Linked DNA regions of Caenorhabditis elegans. The protein of the gene in region 1 interacts with the protein of each later gene in a pairwise test. Each region holds a gene or a part of one and is shown on either strand. Other genes may lie near its edges.

Region 1 (4,803 bases):
AAGGAGTGGTTTCAATTAGATGCTGCTCCTTGTTTCTTTCATGAATATATTCCATTCTGCTCCTCCTTCTGCTATTGTTGATTCCATGTTATTTGCAACACAGCAAACTAGAAGATGAAGAAGAACTAGAGTGTGTTGAAATTTACAATTCAAACAAAAGTAAGGCAGGGAAATTAATTTGGAAATAAAAGAAGTTTGTGGCGCAACTTTTCAGGAGCAATGTTCTGCTCCTCGTGAGCCCCATATCCAGAATGCAAATTATCTTAGCCATGAGGAATTTGATCGTTAAATTGTTCAGGAAAAAATATTATCTAGTACTTTTATACAATTTGCATGGCAGGATGTCTACGTTGTCGCAGGTGCATTTGTGTTTTTATTTTTCCTGACAAGTACGCATTTAAAATTGCCTGAAAAGTTGTCTTCTGTCGTTTTACTTGGATTTCTGTAAATACTATACGTTCAAAGAAAAACATTCATGATGGGGGTTTCAATAATATAAAATTCAAATAACCGAGATCAATACAAATTTACAATTGTGGTTTCATATCTTCGAACTGCTTTCTTGCCTTCTTCAACTCTTCCGACATTGACAACAGATCCTTGACTCTCGAGAACTTCTTCGGATCACGACGAATCAGATAGTGAATGTCCTCAAGTGCCATTTTATCCGGTTTTCCAACTTTCATCGCCAGTTGGCATAACTCTTTGATGTAGTTTAGGACAATGGCCTCAAGAGTGTCCAGGGTCTTGTCGTATGGCTCCTGAAACATTTATTTATAAACAATTCAGGAAATTATCAATCGGAATCTTAGAAAAACCGCTCATTTAATTTCTTTTTAATTTGTTATAGAAATGCAAATAAATTTTGATTCAAAAAGTTGCACAGCCCTGTTACCAACCTTATCATCTCCAAAGCCATAGACCATTGATCTCAAATCTCGTCTCAGCACGTGCTTCTTATCCTCCGGATTTACCACCTTCTCCTTGTCATCTTCGGCATCCGAGCCGAACAGATCCTCTTCGTCATCCATTTTTTAAATTCTGAAATTAATTTAAAATTGGTCTGAAATTTTTTAAAGTGAAGTTAATTAGATATATAATAAGTTTTCGACAACAAGAATTGCAATACAGTCAATTAAAATATTAAAAATTTCTGAATAATTTATCACGTTATTTGGAGAAGAAACCGACTTATGGAAAAAAATCTAGTACATCAGTGGGTGAAAAAACGAGGAAAAATCAAAGAAAGGCACATGAAAAAGAAAGGAAGAATGATAATTGAGCTACTTATTACAATATTTTTGAAGTGAAAAAAATCCGAAAAACCATATAAAGCATAATACGTTAATCATTTTCCTAAAATTTCAGTCAATAAACAGAAAATTGGGAAAGGAAAAATCATAGAAAGAAGAAAGTGTGCAGATCCGATGTATAAAGTGATGAGTGTGTGGATGAGAACAAGAAATTAAGTGAACAAAAAATGAAAGTAAAACACATGCAAAAGGAAAGAGCCGTCTAGTAGATCACAGTTATAAGCCGCCATATGGGTGAGCTTATCCTCGGCGAAGTTTTTCGTTGATTGTGCGGACTATCATTGTCGTTTGGAAAACCAGTTGGTTGGCGGACACGGATACCTGCAAACATTGAATTTAGGCTCAGAATTTGTTTTAAAAAAATGGATTTTAATATTATTCAAGAATTTAGTTTGATTTTCCCAAGATTTGGGGAAAATTTACAGGTTTTTATTTTAAAAAAAAGTCCAAATTTGCCGAATATCGATGTGAAAAAATTAAAAAAAAATCTCCCTGATTTTATATTTCAGTGCGAATTTTTTCCCAGAAAAACCGGGGCTTTTGAATTTTTCACATAGATATTCGGAGTCAAGGACAAATTTCGACGCATTTAAGTAAAAAAGCACATTTTTTCCCACGAACCTGATTTGCATTCTGATCTTTAAAATACGTCTTCAAAGTGTTACTGAATCTTTTCGAGTAGTGCACAAATTCCCGTTTACGTTTCTCAACGGCCGGCTGCGCAGTGAGTGGAACAATTCTGTAGACGGCGTTTATTGCCTCAAGAAGTTTCTTGATTGATGATGCGATGAGCTTGATGGTCTCCAGGAAGGCGTGACGATCCGACATTTCTTCGGGAACCCGGGACAGAACACGACGAAGCTCGATTGCTCTGTAATTTTTTTCGTACGCCAGGAATTTTGAAAAAAATTATCTAATTTGATTACCGTTTCGTGAGCTCTTTATAATCAGCATTCTGCTCATATCCACTGACAATCAAATCATTTGTCGGCGAGGTGTCATGCATTCTCAGATAGGATTCCTGCAGATTAACGCTCAATTCCGAGTCATCCAGCAAAACTTTTGTGAAATCATAGAGAAACGACGGAGAAGCTTGTTCACAAGTGGTCAGTGCAGTGTGCAGTTTCTGAATAATTCTTTGTTAATTTATTTTTTTTCGTTTAACAGTATAAAATTCATAGAAAATATTCTTATATAGAATAGCTTACGTTTAGGGCGAGAGAAGCTCTTGGATCATCACGATGTTGCTGTCTAAAATATATTTTTTAAATTATTATGTTTAAAAACTGATATTTCTTGAAACCCACTTAATTTTTTCCATCACAGGACTGTACAGGCATTGATATGTCATCGCTCCAAGATATCCACCCTCTTCGTTCATTGTGAAACTGCTGAAATGAAAATCATGATTTTTGAGTGAATTTTAAGAGGAGAAAGCTGTGTTAAAAAAGGAAAAACCCGCATACGATCGATTTGCATCGCAAATACATACAGAAATCAAAAGCGGAGAGAGACGCAGATAATAAGGCGAAAAGTTGGAGAAATACAGAGGAAAACGAGGAGAGTAAATATAGGAAGAAAGTGAACGGTCGGAAAGGAATGTGAAAGCAGAATTCGAATTCCTTGGAGAAACTTATGAGTCATTATAATAATAATAATAACGGTTTTTATCGGTTTCGCATGATAACCCACCCAGAAATCGATGCAATTGTTTTTTAATAGTTGAATTAATATTGTGAAATATAAGAAATAACATTAAATATGTTTTTTACTTGAAAAAATAATGAAAATCGCAAAAAATTGATAAAATCTGTTAAAAAAAGAACGAAAAAAAAAAAATTTAAATGAAATGTTCGCATTGGAGCGCACTTGCTGGCACCAGAGATGCTGCAGATTTCGAGATGAACAATTCTGGAGAACAAAGTTCTTGGAAAAATTTTAATATTCGACGTTAAAAATATATTTTATTAGTGCTTAATTTTTTAAATAATCAATTCAATCGCGAAAATGTGAACAAAATGTTTTTACTCAACTCAGACCTCGGTGGAGGTAAAATTTTGCAAATTTTGAAATAATGAATCTTTCAATTTTTAGCCTAGTGCACTAGCTAGTGTTATTTAGACATATAAATGCAGATTTTGCAAATAATAATCTCTGAGAATAAACAACGATTTCCAATATTCAATCAGATTTTCCTGAAAATATATTTTTTTAATTATAATTGTCCAGATCTGGCCAGATAAATTTCATGATTTTTCCCAAAGAATACGGTAGCAGGTCTCGTCAAATTTTCGCACACAAAAAGGTGTGTGCCTTTAAAGAGTACTGTAACTTCAAATTTTTGTTTCAGTGGATGTATTAAAGTTTTTTTTGTAAACTTTTCGAAAAATAAAAAGTTCTTCATCGAAAAATTAGTGGAAAATTATTTTTTCGTAAATCAATAAAAAGAAATTACAGTAATCTCTAAAGGCACACTCACTTTTCTATTTAATGATGGTGTTTCGCGACGAGACCCGGTGCCGTATTTCTGGGGACTCTATTATATTTTCAGCCCACCAGTGAAGGATATCTGTCAATAAAATTATGATATAGTAAAGAATCTCCGGAAAACAAGAAGTCACAAGTCCAATTCCCATCAATCTGCGTCTCAAAATCTTCCGTAATATCTTTTTTCTCCCGGCTGTCCGTCTCATCTTCCGTGTCATTCCTGCCGATCAATAGGAGATCCACTATTCACACCTTTGTTACGCTTCAGAGTATATTAACAATAGAGTCGAGAAAAAAACATTGAAATTTGTTTCATTTTATTGTCTTTTCTTTTCTAAATTGCTCTCAAAAAATGTGCTGATTTCATTTTTCTAGATGTTTCCTTTGGTCAAAGGTTTCGAGAAAAAACCAGTTCCCATTCCAAAAAATAGGTAATAAAATTGCGAACATGTACATTCAAGGTATAGACTCCCAATCAGGAAATCTCATTTCCTGTGATAATTCTGTTCTCTGACCGAGTTTCATCTTTTTTTTTTGTATTTGGTATTAATATATGGTCAAAGGCATAGCCGATCATAGATCAAACATTTTCAAAACAAAATAAAACTTGTTGTTTGATGATTCAATTTTTTCAAATTTTCGAATAATTGTTTAGCCTGTTTCCAAAAAATGTTAACTTTGAACTCGCGCTCATTCTTATTTGACGACATTTACGCCAAAAACACGGTACCCGGTCTCGACACGACAAATTTTTGTTTCCTGCTAAATTCGACAAGGTGTGCTCCTTTAAAGAGTACTGTAATAAAATCGTTGTAGAATTTTCACCGATTTTACATATGTTTGAGATTCCTATAAATAAAAATATTTTATGCACAAAATGTAAGAGCAATTCCGTTACAACTTTAAAGGCGAACACTTTTTCGAGTTTAACAAAAATGTCGCATTGAGACCGGGTACCGTATTTTAGTCGCAGGAATTGCAAAATTTGGAGTCCAGGCAATAA
Region 2 (6,395 bases), on another chromosome or scaffold:
ATCGTGAATTATTCAAGAAAAGGAATCGGGTAATGACGGAATATGTGCTTTTATCCTTTTTTGAACGACTTTTGCTCTTTCTAAGCTTTATGTTTTGTTCAAATAATCCATCTTATAGTAATCTTTTTCAAAAAAGCTAATTTAGATTTTTAACGATACTTGAGATAAAGATGTTCTGGTTTAAATGACACCAAAACACCCACACATGTATCAAGTATTGTTTTTCCCAAGTATTCAGAAAGAAGTCATCCTTAAAGTGTGTAAAACTTTAAAGTTTGCTGATCATTAAATTCCCGCGCGAAGGAATATTGTTAGGTATGAAACACGAAAGGGGATATTCAAAAAATAATAATTATCTAGAAATACAATTTTTCCTAAAATGTTCAAATAATTACAGGCATCACTGAAAGATTGAATCTATTTTTATTTGAGCACAAAACTGAGAACCCAATGCAACGATAGACACAAAAATTTGGAAAAAAAAGTGTGTGCCTTTAAGGAGTACAGTAATTTCTTTTGCAGTAAAAAAACTTTTTTTTAGACATTTCGCAATGCAATTTTCTAGTTCACCATGCTTTAATTAGGTTTCCAGACAAAAATGTATAAATGGAAACTACTGTACACCTTACATTTAAAGGCTCAAACTCTATTTCGCTTACCAATGAGCGATGCGTAAGGGGCGTTGTCTCTGTCGCTGATTGGTCGACGCTTTCTGTTCTGCGCGGGAGTTCAGATTTTTCGATTTTTTTTTCTCAAATTTTCAGTTTTTTTCAGTGAAAAGCAAACAACTCAATCTTTATGTTTTGTTGAGATAATCCTTTATAATAGCAATTCCTTTTGAAATAAAAAAATGATAAAAATTTCCTGATTCAAATGGCACCAACGCACACACATGTAACACATTTTATTGCACATATCAACATGAAAACTTGATTTTTTTTTGATTTTCACAAATTCTCAGGTTACCATAAAAGTTGAAGAGGGGTAAGGGGATGGGAGAGAAGAATGAATGAACGGTATGAGGGCCAGAAATCTAGATGGGAACAATCGAGAAGAAAACGTAGTGAGCAGCTGTGTGTGAGAGAGAGAGAGAGATCAAAAATAGATCCAAGATGTTTCCAGAATAATCAACAAGACATATCTATCTACTTTCTTCCAAATCGAACAAATGATGGCTTTCTCTTGTCCATACGCATTTCCTCGTCATCAATTACCAGCGGGTATCCTGAACGTTTTCCGAAACGGACGAACGACGGCTTCCGCTTTTCCATTCGGACTTGCTCCTGCAAATTAGAAAATTCTTGAATTGTTTAGATAAATACAAGAAGTTATAGGTTTGGTGGCAGAATTAATATTTTCTCATTATCAGTTGTGGGGAATTCCGCAATTTTTAGACGAGACGTTTTTATTTATTTTTGAAAGTCACGAGATGACCATTTTTAGTTTTTCTTACGATTTTTCAAAAATTATAATTTTAAAACTTCCTTTAACTGAAAAAGCAAATAATATATAACATTTTCAACGGCATTTCTGATCTAGAAACGTTAAAAAATGTAAAGTAAGGCTCTCGAAAATAGTGTGTAAAAAATAATGTTTTAAAGGCGCATACACTTTTCGTAGCCTCCATTAAAACATTTTCTGTCGCGTTGAGGCCGTTACCATATTCTTATTAAATTAAATCATAATTTTTCTAATTCTATAACATGAACTTTATAATTATTCAGTGCTTCTAGTCACAATTTAACATTTCAGAGAAGCGTGTATTTTTGGAATTTATCAATTTTTGAGGAGCTCCTTTTCTTATTTTATTCTTAGATGTTTTTCTCCCCAATTCCGAAAATGTGCAAAAAGTTATTCAGTCGAAAATTTTCCTCAAAATGTGTTTTTTAGAAGATAAATTTCATTATTGAAACTTCAATATATCCCGCTAAAATTTAAAAAAAACGAAACGCCGACCAATCAGCGACGTGCAAAAGGCGTGACCAAGGTCGCTGATTGGTCGGCGCATTTATTGAGCGCTAATTTGAATTTTTTGTAAGTAAAATGGAATTGGCCATAGTTTTAGAATAGGACATTACATTTGAGTTTGTCTTTAATTTTCAAAAAATTATTTCAAGAATATAGAATATATTAATGTCAATGCGACCGTGGCCGCCAATATCTCAAGGTCCCAGTATGACGTCATCATTCTCACCTGATTAATACCGATTGCGTGCTGAGTGGCGAGTTGTGCAATTTGATCACAGTACTTTCGATTCGATTCCTTTCCACAGAACTCGGCGAGTGCATCCAAATCTGGCTCCTGAAAAATAGAGCTCAAGTATGTATGTAATTTAACATATTCCCACGTATAATCAACGCCGCAAATCTACACCCGCCGCACCAATAAAAACTAATGAGATTTTTGTCGTCGAGCAGTAGCAGGAGCAACCCGTGAGCCCTGCGATCTCCCAATAGGGTATGTCTAGGTTTTCTTACGGATTTTTGTTTTGTTTATTCAATCAATTTTAAACTTCTCGTGACTTTGAATGATGTCATCATCACTTTAATCAACTTTTTGTACGAAAAAGAGATAGAAGAATCTTAAAATTTGATTTTGAACGGTAGACTGAGCACAAGAGCATCACTCTGAAGCATCGAAAGCAGCAAAATAAAAGGAGAAGGGTGACGACGAAGAATGTAATCCTTGTGCTCATTAGTGGCTCACTTTAACATTTTCAAAGTATTACATAAAACGGATGTTGCTACTGGATGAAAATAGGTGTTGAAACTATAAGGAAGTTATAGAATATGTAAACTTTAAGTTGGTTAATGTAAAGGCGCGGATATCCACGTAGGTCAAAAAACTTCGAAAAAATTCGGATAGCCTGGTGGCATTTTCTGAACAAATCTCAAATTTCTAAGTTCGGCCGACAACTGCCCGGTTCCGCGCCGCACTATTTTTAACCTCTTAAAACACGCATGCTTTATAATTTGGCGCGAAACCCGGTAGCTGTCGGACCATGCTCATCACACCTAAATTCTGCGATAGGGGTAATAACTTTTAAAAATGGTAAAAATGGGCTTCCAAAAATTAATCATCGCGACAAATTATTAGGAAAGTGGATGACGAGACGAAGCCCTAGAATTTCGAATTTCGTTTTTTTTTCAGCTATTTCGTTCCAGACTCAACGTTTCTTTGAAGAGAAATAAACTAATCTTGTGTTTGAAAACAAATATTCTATTCGGGCTATTAAAAAAATAAAATTCACAGAATTCAGCTTAAATTGAGGTATGTCTTTTGCCCCAAAAATGTTAGCCATTTTTAAAATTTTAATGACCATGTTGGTCCAAATTAGGCTTACTTATTAGACTTTCTATGTTAGAAATACTGTTTTTTCAATGTAAGCCTAAAAATGCAAACCATTTCCACGGGGGCAGGTATATTACACAAGCACCTTCCAAAATTTAGGTAATTAACAGACATGCAGGCACGCCTACATTTGAAAAATAGGCAGGATTCGCCTACTGTTAAAAATTCAAAGATACACTTGAAAGTCACTTTGAAATTTATTTACGAAAACACATTTTATAGGTGGCGCCTTTTCTATTATTTTGCACACGATTGGCTTCATTTCGAGCCTGGTGGCACAGGGGGGAGGGGCACAAATAATATTTTGTTCGTTTTTCGAAAAAGTTGAACCTTCCGCTTCAAGAAATTCAGCACACAAATTTTAGAAGCGGAAAGAAATATGATCTTAGATTATTTATATTTTTCCGATCTTAACTCACCTCATAGGCATTTGCCATTGCTGCAATACAGGCGACAAGGAATAGTGCATAAAATTGATTCATTTTTTTCTTCTTTGAAACAAAAAATGTTTCACCCTTCTTCAGACGATGCTGCTGGGTTTTTCTCTGGAAACGAGACCAGAAAAAGAAGTGAGCCTTGATGGGGGCGGAGTCCTGAGAGAGAATGGAGAGCACACGTATGGGCGGAGTCTGAGCACACACATACACACACATTTAAGAATGACGTGTGAGCACTTTGAAGACTCGAAGTGATAATGATGGGTTCGGTAGGTTGGGGGCACTTTACTATGTAGATTTATTTGAAAATCAGGAAGTATTCAGGGAAATATGGTGGTACTGTAGGAAGTATTTAGGATCTACTTTATATTGAGATTTTGAAAAAATCGTAGTTCAAATTGTAGGAGGAATAGGAAAGAAAAATGGAATTTACCGGTATAAAAAAAACTTTTTAAAAATCCAAAAAATAACATAATTCTTCAATTATTTTAAAAATCAGATTTAAATAATCCTCTAAATAGTCATAATCTTTTTGGACAATACACCTTTATGGGTTTTGTTATTGAAAACATTTTAAAGATTGGTCGTCACAAAGCCGTCTTTCAAGTCCTTTTTAACTGGCCGCCTCGCGCCTAACCGTCTTATATTTTTTAGGTGCTAAATATGTCGCGGAAAATTTTTCATGATTTGATAAATGGAAAAATCGGAAAGATATTTGGAAAATGTACAGTGAAATTATAATTTTTATGGAAAACAGGAGAAAAAACTCGAAACCGAAATAAAGAAAAATTGATTAACGCAAATTTTTCCATGTGCCGAGAATTCGAAAAAATAGCAAAAAACTCATTCTAAAATTCACATGCAAATGGGTAAAAAACGCGAGAAAAATATAATTCTTCTAAAAAAATCTTTAAATGTAGCCAAAAATTTATGGTATTTCTCGACAAAATGAAATTGCCTATGATGACTTTTTAATTTAGTTTTTTCTCTCTCAGAAGGACATTTTTTGAGCAGATCACCCACACATCTTGCCAATTTGCTCAAATTTCTGCAATATTTTTGACAAGATCAATTTTCATGTGTTTTGTTTCAATGAGTTCTCGTTTTCCCCATTCTAATAAAACAAATCAGAAATATATAATTGAAAGTCATTAAAGCCCACGTAAATAGGTATATACTCACTGAAATAGAAATATTTGGTAATACTGCTCTAGGAACTCGTAAAGAGATTTTTTTTTGTGATTTCAGAAACTAATCTAAATCGCATACGATATTTTAGGAAACCTGGGATTCTAAGAAGGTATTCAAAATATAAAATCTTACAGTATTTCTTGAAAACTGACAAAATTGCAAAGGCAAGAGCAAGCCTATATGTCGACTAAAAGACAGGCAGGCGGGTCCACTTGAAAGAAAACCGACAAACTTTATTGTTCCTAATGTTAAAAAATCTAATTTCGTAACAAAAAAGTTAACTTTTTAGTTTTAGATATAAAAAAATGTGCCCAATGCCAAATACCAATATTTTCTCTATTATCAGCCTTAACAAAATAAAGTTATTTTGATCATTTTTTGAAAATAATAGCTATTCAGATTCAAAACCAAAAATATCTTCCCGTTACACCTCCCTCTTTGAATCTCTTTATTTGGGTATTCAAAAAAGAAACCTGAAAGTTTATTCAATTTGAATATGAAGTTCTACTCGTTCTGAGTATTCATTGAATTCAGGTGGGAGTTCTGGTGGGTGATTGAAATGAAGTGCACGATGATTGGAATACAATTCAAATTTTTTATGTGAACTAGAATTTATTAAAGAGTAACAGATGTTCTCAAATTTTGACCACAAAAAAATAGTGTATTCCGAAAAATTTCCAGCGGGAGCCCTAAAATATGAATCGAAAAAAAAAACGAAAAAATTTGGCTAAGCCAATAAGCGGCGGGACTTCTTAGGAATTTTTTTCGCGGGAGACGGATAGATAAAGCTTCAACAATTTTTTAAAAACATAAAGTTTTTCGATGTTGGGATTTTGTTATAAAATTTCAGAAAAAGATCCGATAAAAGTTCAGCCGTGAAATCAGAATTGAAATTTCATTTTAGTTTTTTACCAGCCTCGCCTCACTCTAGGCCGGAAATTACCTTTAAAAAAATTCAATTAAATAATAAAAACACAAAATATACTGATGGTTTAAAATATGTGACAATACATGACACACAAGATTACCGTTAAAAGGGCGAGTGAGAGACACCCTCAAAACGCTTCAGCCGTTAACATGCCGATTAGGAGGTTTGCAAATCAAAAAATATTCCCATTTTTGCAAGAAAGAACAATGTTGCATGTCCTTGTCGAAAATACGAGAAAATGATGTTTCTTGTTCTCCTCCTCCTCCAGCTGCCCCTACTCTTCAGTAACAAACCCATAAAGCCAATGACAAAGTGTCTTCAATTTTTCATTTTGAACTCCTCTTCTATACTCCGTTTTCGAGTAGAGAGCGGTTGGTACTAATTTTGGAAACACGGAACATTTTTTCCTTCCAAATATAAAAGTGATGTGCGTGTCCGTCCGGAAGAGAGATATTGTTATTCCGCACCGGAGAAATCTTTATGAATA
Region 3 (5,831 bases), on another chromosome or scaffold:
TGATAATGATTATCACAAGGTATGTGTGATTGCCCTATATCAATTGGAAATTGTACACCCGGAAGAAGAATAAAGTGCAAATATAAATCTGGCAAACAATTACTGATATCTTGTTTGAAGATATCTTCATTTTTTTGAGAAACTGTAAATAAATTTTTTGTAAAAATCTATTAAAAACATCAAATTCACCCAAAAACACCCCGTTCCTTCTCCAAGAAACTCATAAAGGTGGCGGTAAATGGTTCAGACATACTACACACACACACATACAAACAGTAATGAGAGTCCTTCATCTTATTCTTCTTCCGAGCAAACAATGTTCCGCTTTGACACCTTCTACACATTTGCATTTACGTGTATGTATTTGTTGACCGAAACAATCTCAAATGAACGGAGATCGCAGGTCAAATGTGTCCAAATAGGTGCAAATGTGTTCGGTTTTTGTGTACAATGCAACGGAGAGAGTGTAGGGCTTTCATGTAGGCGCCAAAACTGCCTGCCTGACATGAAGGCGACCTACGTTTTTTTTTGTTGATAATACACGTGTGGCACCAGGCACCAGGCAGGACTTGAAACAACTCATGTTTACCATGGAAGTCCTGTTGAATAGATGAAAGCTATCAATCGAGATCTTGTAAAAAATTCGAAACTTATAGAAACGTTGAAACATTAAACGAAAATTATTTAAAAACAATTTTTAAAAAAGTTTTTTCTCAATTTATAACGTATCCACTTATTCTAGCAGTAATTTTTCACTAACTCTACCAAATTTTCAATAAGTTTCATTAGAATTCAGTTTCGATTACAAAAAAGTACTTGGTTAAGCTGAAAATGGCAGCAAGTTCAGTTGAAAATTAACAAAAAGTTTTTAAAAGCGTTAAAAAAAACTCGAAAACATAATTTTCAGGATTTTTTGAGCACATTTTCAAATTAGGGTTCACTAAAATGAACGTTATTTTAAGATTAACGAAATAATTTTTATTTAGTCTTTGAAGAAAAAAATATAGAATTTTATTTTTTTCGAAAAATAGATGCTTGCAATTCGGTGGTGCCAATTTACAAGAAATTGTCAGTTTTAAATTCAGGAAAGTTGTCAATATATTCCTGTTTCAGAAAGCGTTGCAAGATTTGATCGGTTATCTAGTAGATAATTTTTTTCAAGACAACCTTTGTTTATTCTGTGAAACATTAAATTAAAAAAAATGAATATCGTGTTTCAGCTTCCCATTATAAATGTTACTTTCTTGTATCGAGAATAACAACAAGGAATTTACAACAGGTAACCAAAATCAAAACACATTCACACATCAACACATCTCGACCTCCCATAATACATCTTAATTACGTTGTCCACAAGAATAGAAACCGCTCACATATAGGGGAAAAGTTGGTATTCATTCCCCGTTTCTACCTTCAAAAATTGACCTTCCTCGTCTTATGTCCAACCTTGACGTGTCTCAATATTTGGTGGAAGTGAGCCACCTGTCATTTCTCTCCCAATACATATCCGTACAGTAAATAGAACCTCTCGTTTTGGAGTGATAAGAAGCTAATAGAAATGATAAAAGGTGATTAGCTATACCCTTACATGATATCAAAATGATATCAAAAGAGAAAAAGAGAACGATCATTTGTTTAAAGAACACTACACCAAATCATCATATTTTATGGTGTCATAACTGAAGAGAAAGTGATGGAAGAAAGGTATATGGGGCCGTGGATAACAAGTTTTTCCCCTTTTTTTGTTTCACCGAATGTTGTGGTGTATGTTTCATAATAACCACAGAAGAAGAGGCTTCTTTTTTGTTTTCTGGGCAAACTGGAAAGTAGAAAAGTTTCCCCCTTAAGAAGAAGAGAAGAGACATTCATCTTTCTCAAAGGCTGGAAAAAAGAAGGTTGAAGAAGTTAGAGGTATAATAATCCTATGAAGAGAAGAAGGTCAAGTTGACAAAAAAGAGTACTCAATTGAACGAACGGTGAAACGGGAGAAAAGTGCGTTAATTATTTGAATATATTGTCTAGGGAAAGTTTTTGGGAGAGTTATATTTTAACCTGGGCTTGTGCGGCAAAATTTATTATTTCAAAATGATAATCCAAACTTTTTAGTAGAAAAAAGTTGTGGAGCAACTCGAAAAAAACTCAAAAAATTTCTGAAAGTTGTTCTTTAAATTTTTGGGAAAACATCAAACTTCAAGCGGTTTTTCAGATTTTTTTCCATTTTGAACAAGAATAAATATTACTTTCAAGTTTATCAAAATGTTTCATGTATTTCTTCATTCATTTATCATTCCCAATAGCTTTTAAGAGTTGCCTGGTTTGCAAAAAGAAAACAGGGAAACAGTAATAAATTTACGAATCTGTTCCAGTCTAAAAATGAGAACTTTATAGTCTATTGCACAATACTTCTACATAAGAAATCTTTGCAGAAATTTTTTAATTTCAGTCTAAAAAAGTATCGACCCATAAATCGATATGAGTTACAGTAACTCGTTGTCAGCGTGACAAAAATTATCATTATTAGACGAAATATGGGAAAATATTTGATCGATTCAAAAATAAGATTTATTTCTGTCAAAAAACCCGGAAAGTGCCAGAAAGGTTTTTCAGATTTTTTTCTAACTTTTAAACAAAAATAAATACTATTTTCCAACTCGTCAATTTTTTCTTGATCCTTTTATAGCAGCAAAGTTAACTGTGTAGATGATTTGATATTTACAAGAGAAAATATTGAAACAGTAACCAAACTAACCTGTGTAAATCATCATAGCTTATAGCTCTGGAGTACATTGGATGCATTGGTGGTGGTGGTGGAACAGGCATCTGAATCGGAATTCCTCTTGCTCCCAATTTCTTCATTAATTTCTGATGCTTCTTCTCCATCTTCTCCAATTTCTTCAATGTCTTTGCATCAGGAGGTATCAATATCCTAGGTGGAGGCATCATTGCTGGTTCGAAATCAATTTGATTCAATGACATTCTTGATCCTCTCATTTGTCGTAACCTTTCAGAATCAGGGCCTCCCATGTATCCAGAATCTGCATTCAGAGAGATCATTGATCGTCTCATTTGAGCTTTTGATTGTGGATGATGTGGATTGTGATGCATATAAGGTTCAGCGAATGCTCCTGGAGCAATTGGTCTTTGTTTTGCTTCTGGATATGGAGAAGTAGTTGTTGAATAGGATGTCCTTTGATGCATCCAATGCGGAGGAGGCGGGTAGTGTGACGAGCTTCGGTTTCCCATCTAAAAATTATTTTTTGAATTGAAAAAAATAGATTCGAGAGGAAAATTAGAATCGTCGAAAATATTGTCCAGAAAAAATTAATTTTTTTAAAAAATTTACTGTTTCATGATAACTTTGAAATAAATACAACACGTAGGAACTGTTAGATGTGCTAAATAGAATGAAATAACAAAAAACGTAACTTTCAAAAAAAAAACAATTAATATTTGGAAGCAGAAACTATTCTCACAACATTGATGAAACAGAAAAAAAAAGTTTGAATTTTTAAAAAGTTATGACTTACCAAAAAAATACAAACATAAATTTCAAATTATGTAACATGAAACAACTACTGATTCCGAAAAAAAAATCCATTTTTTGATGAAATTTAAAAAATTTAAGAAAGCTTTTTGATTAATCTTCGGTATGTACCTTTACAAATAAATCAGAGGTGATAAAACAGTCCTATGAAAACACAACTATTGTTGATATTACCCAAGGGATAAATGCATAGAGTGAAACGGCACAAACAAACTGAGAAAATACGGGTCTTAAACTATTTTTTACAGAGCTGAAGCTATTGAGGTGTAGAAACATGAGAAGTCTAGAAATCTAGGATACATGGTGGCAGTGAAAATAGAACGCGAAAAGTTAAATAATTAAAATACCAAAAAGTTTGGGGATAGTGTTCCAGAATTTGGAATCTTTTTCATCTTTATAAATAACAAAAGAAAAAAAAGAAGGCGATTTCATTGGTAAAAAAGGAGGTATGAATGGTGAGGCGTCTGTCTCTTCTCAGGGCGGCCCTCTCTTCGTCTCCATCCACCTCTCTTCAATCCGTCCAGAGGCAAAAAGTGTCTGTGCTCTCTCGTAAATCATCACTATTTCATACATTTCGCCCTCCTTTCCGCACAGTCATTTACCTCTTCTTCGTTACACGCGCGCGCCCCCCGCATGGCGGAGACTCCGCCCTCTCCGATTTTATTCCGCACAGGAAACTGAGAGAATAAGCAGGCAGAGGACCCCTGGAAAAGAAAAAGAGAGAAAGAGGTATGAATGCGATGGAATACGCAATTTACCGGTACACCGGCATTGTATGGAAGAGGTGCGCGTGAAATAAGGGGGTCGGGATAGAAGAACAGGTGTTGACCACCTGGAATATGGTGGAAGCTTGATTATTGCCATTTTTGGGGTGAAGCTCTTTTTTGTGGAGGAAGCTCACGAGGAGCAATTCGAGGTGGAAATAAGAGTTAATTACATTATTTTTCTACTGTTTCATCAAGTTTTTATAATCAAGTTTATCATAATGTCTGTAGTGTATAACTCTTGAATCCCATTTGTAACGGAATATAAAATATCGTATTTTCTTAATGACATGCAATGTTTAATTCCGCATTTTTTTGCGACGCAACATTATTAGAAACTGTAAGACTATTAGAGAACATAATTCTAATTTTTGGTTGCTTTTTTTTGAGTGGAAGGAAATTGCCGAAATAAATTAGCAATTCCAGGATAAAAAACCAAAGTAGATTTTTGAGTTCCAAGAAAAAAATAATAAAAAACTTATGAGCAAAGATGCATTATTACATTAAGTATACATTTGATACTCCACTTTTAATATTGTCGTGAAACAGTATTTTCAGTTCTACTATTAGGGGTGTCAATAAGTTCCGGGTCAAAATTCATAACTTTTTTCGTGGCAAATCAATTTTTCTGAAAATATGGGAATTTATGTTATCAAACATGGTCTTCCATTTAACGGTGCTTTCAAAACATTTTGACCACTCCATGTATCCCAGCTCGGAGCCACTTTTTTTCAGGCGTCTGCCCGATTTCGCTTCTTTTTAACTTTCATTTGAGACTTATGTGCGGATTTCGATTGATTAAGTATACATTGTAAAAATACAATAATAATTTGAGAAAAAACTCGTTCAAAAAATTTTTTTTTGTGGATCGTCGAAAAAATCTTCGAAAAAATTTTTGTCGAAAATTCTTGATTTTTTGTACAGGAATGATGCAACCAAATCTAAAAAATTTTTCAACATACTAAACATTTGAATTTAATGTTTAGATTTGGAGAAATTCTCAAAAATTTCAAAAAACGCACTCAAAGATAATATTTTCCATTACCGCTTGTGTGTGAAGCATTAAATTGAAATGTTTTGTATGTTGAAAAATTACTCAAACTTGGTTGTATCATTTCTGTACAAAAAATCAAGAATTTTCGACAAAAATTGTTTCGAAGATTTTTTTGACGATCCACTAAAAACATTTTTGAACGAGTTTTTTCTCAAATTATTATTGTATTCTTACAATGTATACTTAATTAATCAAAATCCGCACATAAGTCTCAAATGAAAGTTAAAAAGAAGCGAAATCGGGCCGACGCCTGAAAAAAAGTGGCACCGAGCTGGGATACATGGAGTGGTCAAAACTTTTTAAAAGTATTGTCAAATGAAAGACCATATTTGATAACATAAATTCCCACATTTTCAGAAAAATCGATTCGTCACGAAAAAAGTTATGAATTTTGACCCGGAACTTATTGACACCCCTAATACATTCAATTTCTCATGTTTCAAAAACATTTCGAATTGACAGCCAAAAT

Evidence for each region.
Region 2: the proteins of ccm-3 (region 1) and flp-9 interact in a two-hybrid assay, tested with the Caenorhabditis elegans proteins (one large-scale study listed by BioGRID).
Region 3: the proteins of ccm-3 (region 1) and C06E7.4 interact in a two-hybrid assay, tested with the Caenorhabditis elegans proteins (one large-scale study listed by BioGRID).

The regions. Positions count from the first base shown.
Region 1 is NC_003280.10:10,604,572-10,609,374, forward strand, and holds ccm-3 (Programmed cell death protein 10 homolog), read right to left. Parts: upstream 2,705-4,803; 5' UTR 2,695-2,704; coding exon 2,621-2,694; intron 2,565-2,620; coding exon 2,522-2,564; intron 2,440-2,521; coding exon 2,240-2,439; intron 2,185-2,239; coding exon 1,935-2,184; intron 1,635-1,934; coding exon 1,554-1,634; 3' UTR 1,146-1,553; downstream 1-1,145. Other genes in the region: taf-13 (Transcription initiation factor TFIID subunit 13), read right to left, coding at 528-761, 900-1,031. UniProt on the Caenorhabditis elegans protein: Involved in excretory canal elongation during postembryonic development. Plays a role in promoting Golgi stability, ER integrity and vesicle transport probably by regulating the activation of Rho GTPase cdc-42. Involved in fertility.
Region 2 is NC_003282.8:12,753,669-12,760,063, forward strand, and holds flp-9 (KPSFVRF-amide 2), read right to left. Parts: upstream 3,903-6,395; 5' UTR 3,835-3,902; coding exon 3,772-3,834; intron 2,303-3,771; coding exon 2,195-2,302; intron 1,284-2,194; coding exon 1,146-1,283; 3' UTR 890-1,145; downstream 1-889. UniProt on the Caenorhabditis elegans protein: FMRFamides and FMRFamide-like peptides are neuropeptides. KPSFVRF-amide: Has no effect on somatic body wall muscle, inhibits contraction of vaginal vera muscle, and inhibits the activity of the dissected pharyngeal myogenic muscle system.
Region 3 is NC_003282.8:5,856,734-5,862,564, forward strand, and holds the start of C06E7.4 (SH2 domain-containing protein), read right to left. Parts: upstream 3,244-5,831; coding exon 2,750-3,243; intron 2,294-2,749; exon of another isoform or gene 2,273-2,293; intron 1,884-2,272; exon of another isoform or gene 1,599-1,883; intron 1,281-1,598; exon of another isoform or gene 1,257-1,280; intron 1,144-1,256; exon of another isoform or gene 1,123-1,143; intron 625-1,122; exon of another isoform or gene 603-624; intron 1-602.